Sus scrofa: one gene and its partners. The main gene of each other region encodes a partner of the protein of the gene in region 2 in a complex. Links are inferred from orthologs where the notes say so. Each region holds a gene or a part of one and is shown on either strand. Other genes may lie near its edges. The genes, in order: ARPC5, ARPC1B and ARPC5L.

Evidence for each region.
Region 1: ARPC1B (region 2) and ARPC5 share a complex: the UniProt entries of both Homo sapiens proteins name them as parts of the arp2/3 complex. The link is inferred for Sus scrofa from reciprocal best matches to the Homo sapiens genes ARPC1B and ARPC5.
Region 3: the proteins of ARPC1B (region 2) and ARPC5L are in contact, whole or in part, in a cryo-EM structure (PDB 6YW6), measured with the Homo sapiens proteins. The link is inferred for Sus scrofa from reciprocal best matches to the Homo sapiens genes ARPC1B and ARPC5L. Residues at the interface, in NP_005711.1 of Homo sapiens: Arg118, Lys138, Arg142, Phe164, Ser201, Gly203, Trp204, His222, Asp223, Ser224, Thr225, Leu240, Ala241, Ser242, Glu243, Thr244, Leu245, Pro246, Phe281; in NP_112240.1 of Homo sapiens: Asn21, Lys22, Arg102, Gly139, Leu140, Gly141, Ile144, Arg145, Thr148, Arg150, Lys151.

Annotation. Positions count from the first base shown.
Region 1 is NC_010451.4:124,845,104-124,849,332, reverse strand, and holds the start of ARPC5 (actin-related protein 2/3 complex subunit 5), read left to right. Parts: upstream 1-1,426; coding exon 1,427-1,569; intron 1,570-3,931; coding exon 3,932-4,004; intron 4,005-4,229. UniProt on the Homo sapiens protein: Component of the Arp2/3 complex, a multiprotein complex that mediates actin polymerization upon stimulation by nucleation-promoting factor (NPF).
Region 2 is NC_010445.4:6,339,498-6,342,858, forward strand, and holds the end of ARPC1B (actin-related protein 2/3 complex subunit 1B), read left to right. Parts: intron 1-360; coding exon 361-567; intron 568-655; coding exon 656-731; exon of another isoform or gene 732-1,609; coding exon 1,610-1,815; intron 1,816-2,435; coding exon 2,436-2,526; intron 2,527-2,817; coding exon 2,818-2,856; downstream 2,857-3,361. UniProt on the Homo sapiens protein: Component of the Arp2/3 complex, a multiprotein complex that mediates actin polymerization upon stimulation by nucleation-promoting factor (NPF).
Region 3 is NC_010443.5:265,644,440-265,648,602, forward strand, and holds the start of ARPC5L (actin-related protein 2/3 complex subunit 5-like protein), read left to right. Parts: upstream 1-1,360; coding exon 1,361-1,509; intron 1,510-4,163. UniProt on the Homo sapiens protein: May function as component of the Arp2/3 complex which is involved in regulation of actin polymerization and together with an activating nucleation-promoting factor (NPF) mediates the formation of branched actin networks.

The DNA of each region.
Region 1 (4,229 bases), on a different chromosome or scaffold from region 2:
GCAAGGAAGAGTCAGGACTCAAGCCAGGGTTCTCTGATTCTAAGCCCAGTACTCTTTTCAATTACAGCACAGGAAACGAACTATTGAGGTTTAACAGGGCAACAGCCAGCCCTCTGCTAGAGGTGGAATTAAACTAGACCTGACAAATGTCCAAAATAATTTTATTCTGCAAATACTTCTACTTCAGTGCTATACACATAGCCCAACAACCATTCCCTCAGTTTTAGTGCTTTTACCTGCTCAATAAGAGCTTTGCTCTCAGAAATGGGGATGTCAAATATAATAAAAAGCTGGCCTAGCGGGATCATATAAATCTTAAACGGCAAAGATAAATTTTAAAGGCTTGGTTTCCACTAATCCTTACACATTTTGTTTTCCCTCGGCGTCAAAAGAGTGTAACTCGCCCCTACTCTTTTCTAACATTCTTGCTCCAAACAACCAGTTATTTTAAGATGTCAATGACTGACCCTACCCCAAATTCCACAGGTTTATCCCAGTCTTGTCACGAGACCCCAGCCCCTGCCCAGACACCTCCCCCTCCTTCCCAAAGGTTATGATACCTAGTTCGGATTCTGCAGGTGCAGTCGAGATGCTGTTACACAGCACTGACAGATAAGATATGACCTTTCGACTCTGTCCTTGGGGACTCCCCGCTGGCCGCACAGCGTAGTTCCAATCGCGAAAAAGAGGCTCCCGGCTCTGGAACGAAGCCACAGTCGGCGTACGGTCTGAAGCGACGTCTCTGACAACTAGAACGATGCTGGGCGACTGGGCGTGCATCACTCCGCCTCATACTCCTGTCAACTGCAGGGGACTTGGTCCGGCAACCAGTCCATCCCACCTCACAGGCAAGTCCGTGCCAGCCGGACCTTACGCAGGACACCGATGGCAGGTCGTTGGCGGCGGCAGTGGCAGCACAAGCCAAGGCCACCCGCCCTCCGAGCCCATCGCCGCCAACCTAAGACCCCCTAGGCTGGACCGCAGAGAAGCGTTTCTATGGAAACCCCCCAGGGATCACGTGACGCACGTGGACGCCCAATCGCCTCTTACCTCTGCCCGCGGCGCCGCTTTCTGCCCTCCCCTGCCCCGCCCCCTCCCGCCCCCGCCTCCTTCACCCAGCCCCGCCCCTTTCCTGCAGCGAGTCCGCACCTGCGCACTGCGTCCAGCGCGCTCCCTCCCTCCTGCGCTCCCGGGCTGGGAGGGGGCCGTGGGGGTGGTGGAGGAGGGTTGGAGGAGAGCGCGTTCCTGAGAAGGAAGAGGCGCCGCCAGCGCGCAGGCCCAGAACCACCCGGGCCGGGGCTGCCGGCCGACGCCTCTGAGCGGAAGAGGGAAGTGAAGGCGGCAGTCTGCGGGTGCCAGCCGGGTTGGGCTTGCTAAGGTAGAGGCAGCACCGAGGGGAGGCCTTGGCCGCCGGTCCGGATCGAGGATGTCGAAGAACACGGTGTCGTCGGCCCGGTTCCGGAAGGTAGACGTGGATGAGTACGACGAGAACAAGTTCGTGGACGAGGAAGACGGGGGCGACGGGCAGGCCGGGCCCGACGAGGGCGAGGTGGACTCCTGCCTGCGGCAATATCCTTCTGTTCGCCGCCCCCCCACCCCACCTGGCCCTTCTTCCGGGACCCGCTGCGGGCAGGGGGTGAGGGGGGCGGGCCCCGGCCGGGAGCCGGGCGCGGAGCTGCTCCCAGTGCCCACGGCTCCACCCGGTCTCTTTGGGGGTCACGGGTTCTCAGAGGGCAGGGGACTCTCCCATTCCTACCGACTCGCCCCGAGACCCCAGGGTCCAGCCCTCGGGAACCTGCCCTTCCGGCGCGCCGTCCACTCCCCGGATTCCTCAGGTTGCGCCAGGAGTTCTCGCCTCCGGGAATTCCGCGGGGCCGGCCGCGCCCTCGCGGCGGTGCAGCTGGTCAGTCGGACTGCTGCGCGGCGCTTAAGTTGTCCTCCCAGAACGGTATTTACCCGGGTCTCATTAGCTCCCGAGTCTGATTGAGAGAACAGGCGTCTTTCTTCAGTGATTTTGTTTTCATCGTGGTAGTGGTTTTGTTTTGGCAGCATTAGGATAGATTCTTTCCTGCCAGCAGAGATGGGGCGGTTTGCAGGGTTGAGGCCCCCTCCGTCCTTCCAGTCCGGGGGCTCTTTTTTAGGAGACAGGGATTTGGCAAAATATAGATTGCACAGAATTTTTTACCTGGGGAAAAGGGAGTGAGTGCAAAACCACCGCAGCTCCCCAGAAAGAATCTGGGAGCTTTTTACCTGTTAAGCAAAGGACAGTAGAAAGAAGACGGGGAATGCATGTGGAGAATCCCTGGAAATATTTAAAATAAACCCCAATGAATAAAATAGAAGAAAATGAATCATTTGCGCAAAACAGAAGCATTTTGTAATCCTGGAATCGTTTCCCTTTTAGTTAAAATGTGTCTGTCAGTTCCTGGGTTTTGGTTTTGCATATTTGAATATTCATGACTTTGAGGGAGTATTGGCATCAGATCTTTTTTAGGAAAATGTAAATGTTACAATAACCAAAGCTGTAGTTTCAAAGATTCTCAATTACTGACCCACTCATTTCTCATTATCCTTGGGTGTATTCATAAGGTAAGGAAGGCTTTTTAGACTCTTTCCGCCTCAGTGTCCTATTAAATTCAACGTGGAAATATATGAGCGAAAATATTTGGTCACAACCACAGCTGGTCTTAGAGGCACCTAAAGTACAGCATTAAACATTTGTCAACATACAGATGTTTCTTTGATTTCTCTGACTTTCACAATCAGCTGTTGCTGTTTTGCATTATTTAAATACTTCAGTGTTTGGGGTCTTATAAGTGAACCAGTCTGCAGAAGGCGTGCTTCTCTAGAAGTCCATTAAGCCTTGAAAATAACAGTCTACCAACAACCATAGTTTTTTTGGTCAGACCTTTTCCTTCAGAATATAAATGATGTCTGTCTAAAAACATTCTTTGTGATGAAAAAATGATGTTTCATGAGACTAACATTTTAGATAACGATGATGACTCTTAAATGGTACTGCTGTATCCACAGAGTGGATCTGCTTTTTAAATCAGTTCATCTTAAAATGTAAAGATGCTGTCTTACTGTCTCTTCTACTCTTGTTACAAGAAGAGACAAGCCCTATCAGGCACCACAGATGGAGGAACAAGAGAACTCTGTGGTTTTCCTTTTAGGGAAATAACTGTACATTCTGACAGTCTGATTGGCCTTCTGTTTCTCATACTTGCTAACTCACTGGTGCTTTCAAGTGAGACTAAATGTAATAGGTGTGGCCTAAGGTAGTTTGAATGACCTTTATGAACTGTGAGAGCAAACATCCAAAAGAGAAAAATTAAGCTGACACCTAAGGGTCATTGAATTGCTATATCTTCTTATGATGCCTCTTGTCATCAGTATTGGGAGATTGCTAATGTATATCATTCAGATTGCTAGAGTGATCTGCCAGCACGTTCTGTTAGCATTTCATTATATAGAATATAATTCTAGTTAAAGTTTGGTCTTTATTTTTCCAGTTAGAGTCACATAAAAGGACATATTTTGGCTGAGGATAGGATGTTTCATTTGGGGGCCAAATAATTCTGGTATATATTTTAGAATTTTAAAAATGATCACTACATAATGGTTTGCACATGTGTCTTCCTGGCAAATGGAAGATTATCCAGGTGTTCAATTAATAATTAGCGCCAAGGATGAAACAGTTTTTGTTTGATTTTAAAAAATGTGTTGTTCTCCCTTTTTCTTCCTCAGTATTTTATCTTTGATTGACATCCTTGCAACCAACATGCTGAATTTTCCAGTATTAAGCATAGCGACTTTAGTACTTTTCTTTTGATGCATAATGTCAAATCTGAAGAACCATTGGTTCCTGGGAGTCATAGTGCTTTCCTGAGGGCTGCCCTTTGCTGCTATATCCCTTAACCTCCTTCACAGGAAACATGACAGCTGCCCTACAGGCAGCTCTGAAAAACCCCCCTATCAATACCAAGAGTCAGGCGGTGAAGGTGAGTTGTCTTCTCTGCTGTTATCTTAGCATTCTTACCAAAACCCTCTAAAGTATCACACAATCAACAAATATTTTAACTACTCTCTCTGACAGAGAAGAGCTTACAATGTAGTTGGATTGGTAGAAAATTAATATATAGAAAAACAGCCTAACATTGAGTTGTGATAATGCTGCATGGTGTACACACTAAGTTTAAATGACCAACCAGGAGATCTTTGTTTTT
Region 2 (3,361 bases):
TGGGATGGAGATGAGGGTTACGCTGGGAGAGGGCTGGGCAGGAGTGGACGCGGATTGGTCCAAGGTGCAGGGCAGGAGGGAGGAGGCAAGCTGGGGATTGGCTGTGGAGCATGGGGCCAGCATGAGGGGCACCAGCACATGTCCTGGGCTGCGTCAGCCGTGGCTGGTCAGTCCACAGGTGTGGGCTCGAGGGCCCTGGGAGTCCCTGGACCCAGACGTGTCCCGGTGATCGTGAAGGTGCAGGTCATGAAAAGCTGGCTCGGGCACCCACACACTTGGCCGGGCCGGTTTGGGAGAGGGAGTCCCTGGTGGGGCCCCTCCCAGACGCCCAGTCACCCTCTAATTTGCCTGTCCTGGCAGGATCTTCTCAGCCTACATCAAGGAGGTGGAGGAGCGGCCAGCACCCACCCCCTGGGGCTCCAAGATGCCCTTCGGGGAGCTGATGTTTGAGTCCAGCAGTAGCTGCGGCTGGGTGCATGGCGTCTGCTTTTCAGCCAGTGGTAGCCGCGTGGCCTGGGTCAGTCATGACAGCACCGTGTGCCTGGCTGATGCCGACAAGAAGATGGCGTGAGTACAGGTCACCTGAGCAGGTGGGGCGGCAACCAAGGTGCTGGACACGAGGGGCCGGGGGGACTCACATTTCTCTCTCACTCAGCGTGGCGACTCTGGCCTCTGAAACGCTACCACTGCTGGCTCTGACCTTCATCACGGAAAACAGTCTGGTGGCAGCGGTAAGGGGGGACGGGGCAGTCACCGGTGACCGCAGGTCTCCCAGAGAGCCTGGAGATGCCCAGGCAGCTCTCTGCTTGTCCCCGCTTCTGCTTTCCGTCCTTCTTGTCTCCCTCCCATCCATCCATCCATCCATCTTTATTGGTCAGAATAGGTTAAGAAAATCTCCGGTTGCAGTGGCTCCACACGGTAAATGTGTATTTCTCGCTCAGTTTGAATGTCCAGCGTGGGTGCTGGGTGGGGCCTCTGCTCACCGTAGATGGAGGCTTTGTCTCCGGGGTGAGGCGGGGGAAGTGGAGACCTGGGCCCTGGGTCCTAACCTGTCTGTGTACATCCTCTTGGCCCATGCAAGTGACAAGGCCACACCTCACTCAGGAATGGGTACCTGTAGCGGGAGGACAGTTCTACTGGATATTCTACTTGGCCCCCCATCTAGCAAGCCTCTTTTCAGGCCTCAGCAAACCTACCCTCCCAGAGGGAGATCAGGCCTGCTTTGCCTAGAGACACGTCCAGCTGTGGGGTCTCTCCCAGAGCAAATGTAACCGTCCCAGCAGGACGTCCCAGGGGAGTCCCAGACAAGCGCTCTCAGCTAGAAGCTGGCCTTACTGGTGGAGGGGCTGCTCCTAGATGCTCAGCCCCAACATCTGGTCCCTCTTACTCTACCTAGGGTGGGTGGCTTTGTTTCTGAGTTGTCGTCCGCTTCCTGGTGCTGCATCCAGGTTCTGAATCTGGCCTCTGGGACCCCCAGATTCATGGCTGGATTGCCCCCTACCCCCCGTCCCCCCACTGTGCCTCCCCTTGGGCCCATCTCCCTTGGTGGAAAACGGGGCGCCGCGCCTGCCCTCGGCCGGCGCTCCATGGGCACCCCGCCCCGCCACAGGGCCACGACTGCTTCCCGGTGCTGTTTACCTACGACGGCGCCGCGGGGACGCTGAGCTTCGGGGGGCGGCTGGACGTGCCCAAGCAAAGCTCGCAGCGCGGCCTGACGGCCCGCGAGCGCTTCCAGAACCTGGACAAGAAGGCGAGCTCGGAGGGCAGCGCGGCGGCGGGCGCGGGCCTGGACTCGCTGCATAAGAACAGCGTCAGGTGAGCGCGCCGGGCGGCTCCGCTCCCACCCGCCGCCTCGGAAGCGGCTCAGACTCTCGAGGCTGCGCAAAAAGAGCCTCAGCGGAGCGCGGAGCAGGCAGCCTCGCTGTGGGGCCTCGGAGGGCGGGGGTCTCCAGGCGGTAACCAGCGGGCCCCAGGGGAAGCGGGTCTCGTTCTAGAACCTGGAGGGGCGGAGCGGGGCGGGACTGAGGGCCCGGCGGCACCTCCTTGAGGAACTGGAGTGAAACGGGGCCGGAGCGCCCCCCCCACCCCCCGCCAGGTCCTTCCAAGCCAGCCACAGGGGTCCACCCCACGGCAGGTTACAGGGAGAAGTGTGGCTTCGTTTCCACTTGGTAGCACGCCTCTGTCACTCTAAGCCCCAGCCACGCGTGTCCTGAGCTCTTGGCACGCTCCTTGCTCACTACTGCGCATCCCTGAAGCGGGCGCAGGAGCCGGGTCCTGGGATCCTTCACAGCCCGCCTCCTGGGCTGTCCCTGCTGGGCACACGTCCCTCATTGGAGCAGGCTCCCCAGAAGTCCGGGAGCTCCTGGAGGGCAGGGTGGGTGGGAGTCTCGCATGGGCACAGGCGGGGATCTGTAAAGCTCTCCTCCCCTCTGCAGCCAGATCTCTGTGCTCAGTGGAGGGAAGGCCAAGTGCTCGCAGTTCTGCACGACGGGCATGGACGGTGGCATGAGCATCTGGGACGTGAAGGTGAGGCCACCCCGGGCCCTCTCCCCTCCCCCACCCGTTCTCCCTGGCAGCAGGCCGGGATGCCCCAGTCCCTCATTCCTGCAGAAGGGCACGTGATGGGAGGGGGGCCTGGGGGTGGGGGTGGAGCGGTAGCCCCTTGCCACCTGGGCCTTGGCACCTTTCTTTAGGGTTAGGATCCAAACCCAGGTCTGCCTGAATCCGAAGACCAGGTGCCCTGTCCCTGCTCAGGTCCCTCGGTAGGGTGTCTGCAGCACAGCTGAGAACCAGCCTGTCTGTTCTGTCTCCTTCCAGAGCCTGGAGTCAGCCTTGAAGGACCTCAAGATCAAATGACCCGTGAGGCGTCTGCGCCCTCATCCCAGCTGCTGGGGGAAGAGGGTCGGGAAGGCTAAGGATCGCTGTGCTGAATGTTTCTAGGGTACCAGTCCGGGTCCCCACAGATGCTGCTCCCTGGGGGTGGGGGTGGGAGAGGCTTTTCTTACCTATTGAAGGAACAGTTGCCTTTTTCTTAAGGAAATGCTTTCATTTATTGTAAAAAAAAAAAAAAAAGTCCCCCAAGCACTCTGCTGGTCACGAACTGCTTCAAACAAGGTGGTAATAAAAATGCAGCTGTAGAGACAACGTTCCTGTGTCTAGAAGGAGGGTTAGTTTGGGCAGAACTTTGGTAGCTTACTTTTGCTTGCCAGCAAAGCTGCTCGTTACACCCAAGATGGTTAAACCTCCCCAGTGTGGTTCCTCCCTGCGTGGAGTCCAGCCTGGGAGCTGCCAGGACCGGTTGTCTTTTCCCGCCACTCATTCTGCTGCTGGACTCCTAGACAGGCGGTTGCACATTCTAGGC
Region 3 (4,163 bases), on a different chromosome or scaffold from region 2:
AGCTGAAAGGCAAGTTTTCCAGGACCCCTGGGACTTTTATTCAGCACCTATCCCACTGTAGGAGTCTTTTGCTGTTGTTTTGCATGCGGAAGTACCCAGGCCAGGGATAGAAGCCTTGCCACAGGAGTAAGACTGCTGGATCCTTAACCCATTGAGCTACCAGGGAACTCCTGTTGGAGTCTGTCTTTAACACCCTAGATAGCATCCTAGTCTGGCAAAATTTTTTGATCTGTAGAGACAGTTCATGAGAAGTATTTGAAGCAATGAAACGGGTCATTTCACTAACTACAGGTCTTCATTAAAAAAGAGTACTATCATATGAAAACGAAGACCCAATGTAGTCTAAGGCTAAGGCTCATTAACAGAACCCCTCAAGCAACAGCCCACGCACCACAGAGTAGCACTTGACTCTGCCGTATTTGTGCTCTGCTCAACCTTCCCCATCTCAGACTGGGGAGACCCTTACTGCTCCAGCCAGACAAGACTTCTCAGGCCCCAAGACCTCGCCCTCCGCAAGAAGGGTGGCCACTGGGCCATCTCCCTATCCCTGCCCACCTCCCCCTCGGTCAAGGTGACTGCTTCACGCGCAGGGCTCAGAATACTGAGGTCCAAATGCCTTCACTGTCTTGTCAGCACCCTGGACACACTTTAAACGTCTTTAAAATCTCCCAGTACATTAACAAGAGTCACTACAACAGTAAGGCAAAAGCAACCTCCTCTAAGCTCAGTAAGGTAGCGTCCGAAACTCCTAAAATCTGAGACCATACGTTCTCCTAACCCTACGTCACTCCCTGGGCACAAGAACTACTACTCATCCTTCAGGCCTCAGCTGGATAGGTTTCTTCTCCAAGAAACCTATCCAGCACTCGGCAGGCAGCGCTGGGTCTCTTCTCCCGGTGACCCATGCCCCCTCAATCTGGACAGTGATGACACCCAGAGTCCCCGACCATGCACGCCCTCGCCCCTTCCAGAGCCAGGGGCTCCTCCGGTGCAGGAACGAAGCCGAAGAAGAGTGCAGTTATGGCGCCGCCCAGGTGCTGAGCCTTCGCGGGATTGGGCGCCTGTTTCCCAGTCAGGAAGACTTAGGCTACACGAAGATAGGAGTCCCGGAGAGAGTCACAAGGCCGTCTTCCAGAACAGCTTCTCGGCGCTTCCCGCCACACCCCGCCCATCCCTCCTACCGGCACTTCCGGTTCCGGCGTGGCCCGGAAGTGGGCGGGCAGCTGCGGCTGCGCGCGGAGGAGGTGGAGGAGGTGCCGGGTCGCCGCTTCCCGCCCCCGAGCCGGAGCCGGTTCCGAGCGGAGTGGAGTGGAGGTCTGCCCCGGAGAGGAGCTGGCTGAGCGGGCGCCGAGCCCCCGCCATGGCCCGGAACACATTGTCCTCGCGCTTCCGTCGAGTGGACATCGATGAATTTGATGAGAACAAATTCGTGGACGAGCAGGAGGAGGCGGCGGCGGCGGCGGCCGAGCCAGGCCCGGACCCTAGCGAAGTGGACGGGCTCCTGCGGCAATATCCTTCCCCAGCGCGGCGGCCTGGGCTCCCCTTTGGCCTGGCCTTCCCACTCCCCTCATCCCCGGCTCCGGCCCTTCAGGCCGACCTCCCCAGTTCTCTCATCCGTGGTTCCCTCAGGTCAGTCTCTCAGCTCCCTACCGATCCAGCTCCCCTCGGACCAGGCATCCCCACTTCTCTCACCCGGCCTCTCTACTTCCCTTGTCCCCGGCCCGGACCCCTGGAGCCCCTGTATCCTGGTGGGCCGGCTTGCTCGGCGGCCCCAGCAGCATGCCGGACTGGCGTCTGGCTCGGCTGGCCCCTCCTCTGCGAGGCCTCTCCTCTTTCCTCCCCCTTGCCTCCTCATCCCTCTCAGGCTGGCCCTTCCTTGGGTGCCCTGTCACTCCATCTCTCCCAGGCAGGAAACAGGGCCATTCTCGGGCTTGATCGGCGGGAGGGGCCAAGGTGAGCTACCGCTGAGTAATTGAGAGGCCAGGGCGGCTCCCAGACACAGTCCTCTCGGGCTGGATTGCAGCACCACATGAAAATAGGTGGGTGGGTGGCTTCGGGGAAGAAAGGACCCACGTGGGAGCGAAGGCTGCAGCCTTAGCCTTAGTCCGGCCCTGAGGTCTGCGATTCCATCTCCCATCCCAGAATCGTTCTGAACGTTCCAGCTTGATGCCCCTCTTTCTCACCTCTTCGTACTTTCCTACAACCGTTGGGCTTTGGACCTCCATGGTCTTAGCCACTTTCAACAAGTGAGTCTTGGCTCCTTCCCCCCAATAGCCTTCTTGTTCAGAAAGCAGTGGAAAAAACTAGTAGTTTAGAGCTAAGAAAAACCAGGCAACGTAAAGTGAGATGTAAAAGTAGAGCCCCACGACTGGAAATGAGTCTTCTGTGGTCACAGAAAACAAGCATTTAGAAAACAAGATTAAAAATAGAGGTGGTTGTCACAGCCTGCTTGGTCGCTTAGCAGTTTGAGCACAGGAAACTGACTTATTCTCACAGGAAGGATTTTTCTTTATTCAAATAGTGTTACAGGAAGTGCCCACCCCTCCCCCGCACTTGCCAGGGCAAGGTTGGAGGCTCAGGCTGTACTGTATATAAATCAGGTTCTGGGTGTTTAATCATTTGACTCAGCTTGGCAAGTCGAACCCATTTGACTGCCTTTGGGAGGAGTCCTGCAGTGTTCCTCCAGTGGGCCTTGAAACAAAAACCTTCAGACATTTTTTGTTTGAACAAATGTGTTTTCAAAGATGGGGATTCAAACTTGGATTTCCTGCCCCATCAGGATCACCTTTCTTACCCCATTGGTGAAATGGAGTTATGAGAAGGTACCCATGAGGGAACCTTGATTCTGCAGTCTGGTGCAGAACCTGGCCTGTGGGCAGGCATTGCCGAAAGGGCTCCAGAGTCAGGCCTGTGGCTCAGACCATCCACAGAAGGGGAGAACAAGGCCTGTTTATCTGCTGTCTTCGTCCTGGTGCTGTAGGGACTTATCAAAGGTCATGTCTTGGTTATGCTTCTGATGTGATAGGTTCCTTGAGGCTGCTTGGAGGCAGGGGATGGTAGTTTCTTCACTAATGGCAGTGTCAGAAACCTGGTTACCACGGAGGATGTACTTCTTGGGATTGGGGAAAGGGAGGTTAGCAGATGAGAACGGAAATCCTGGCAAATGTAGGGCCGGGAAGGGAGGAGGAAGGAACTAATATTTGCTGAGTCCTTACCGTGTGCCAGGTATTGGATTTACATTAGATTAATAAACTATAGAACAGGTTTCTAGGAGTCTTAGGACAGAGCAAGGGGAGTAGGGATAGGCGTTGATGGGGGACGGGGGTGTGGGGAGTAAGCCTGTCCTAGTGCGTAGAGGGAGGCCTGTGGTGATGGGAGATCACACAGATGAAATGGAGCATGGGCTGCACATCCGCACACACCCAGCTCAGTCATGCTCTGGCTCTGTGACTTTGAGCAGATCTCATTCGCTCTGTGACCCTCGGCATCTACCTCTGTGAAAGGGAGGAGAACCAAGCTTGGCTTACAGGTTCAACAGCGGCATCACCGGACAACATGCCAGAAGGCTTCAGCACAGGGCTGGACACACAGCAAGTGTCCTGGATGTGCACCTAGGGTCTGTGCGTGGCGTGGCAGCCAGAGGTTGTAGAAAGAGCTTGGCTTTGGAATCAGGCATACTTGGGTTTGAAGGCCACCTGGACAGCTTAGCTTTGTGACCCTGGGCAGGTCATTTTCCTTCTTTGAGCCTCAGATTCATTGCCTTTAAAATCAGAATAATCACTCTTGTCACAAAGAACTGTTAGCAGGGATGAGATTACATGTGAAAACACCTGGGCACAGGCTCTGAGCCCTTGTAGGGATTTTTAAGCACTAGATCCTTTTCTTGCTTGCTGAGGTACCTTTTGGTCCCTTGGAGCGGGAATCTGGCAAGAGCAGTGGTTTTGAGTGATTTTGCACTCTCCTCCCCCTAAAGAAATTTGTCTATTTTTGGACATATTTTGATCGTTACAACTTGGGGGGTGCTACTGGGATCCAGTGCAGAGAGGCCAGGGATGCTGGTAAATTGTATGATGCACAGGGTAGACCCTACATCAGTCATCTGGTCTAAAATGTCAGCAGTGCTGTGGTTGAGAAACCCTGATCTACAGGTGACTAGGTGCTGA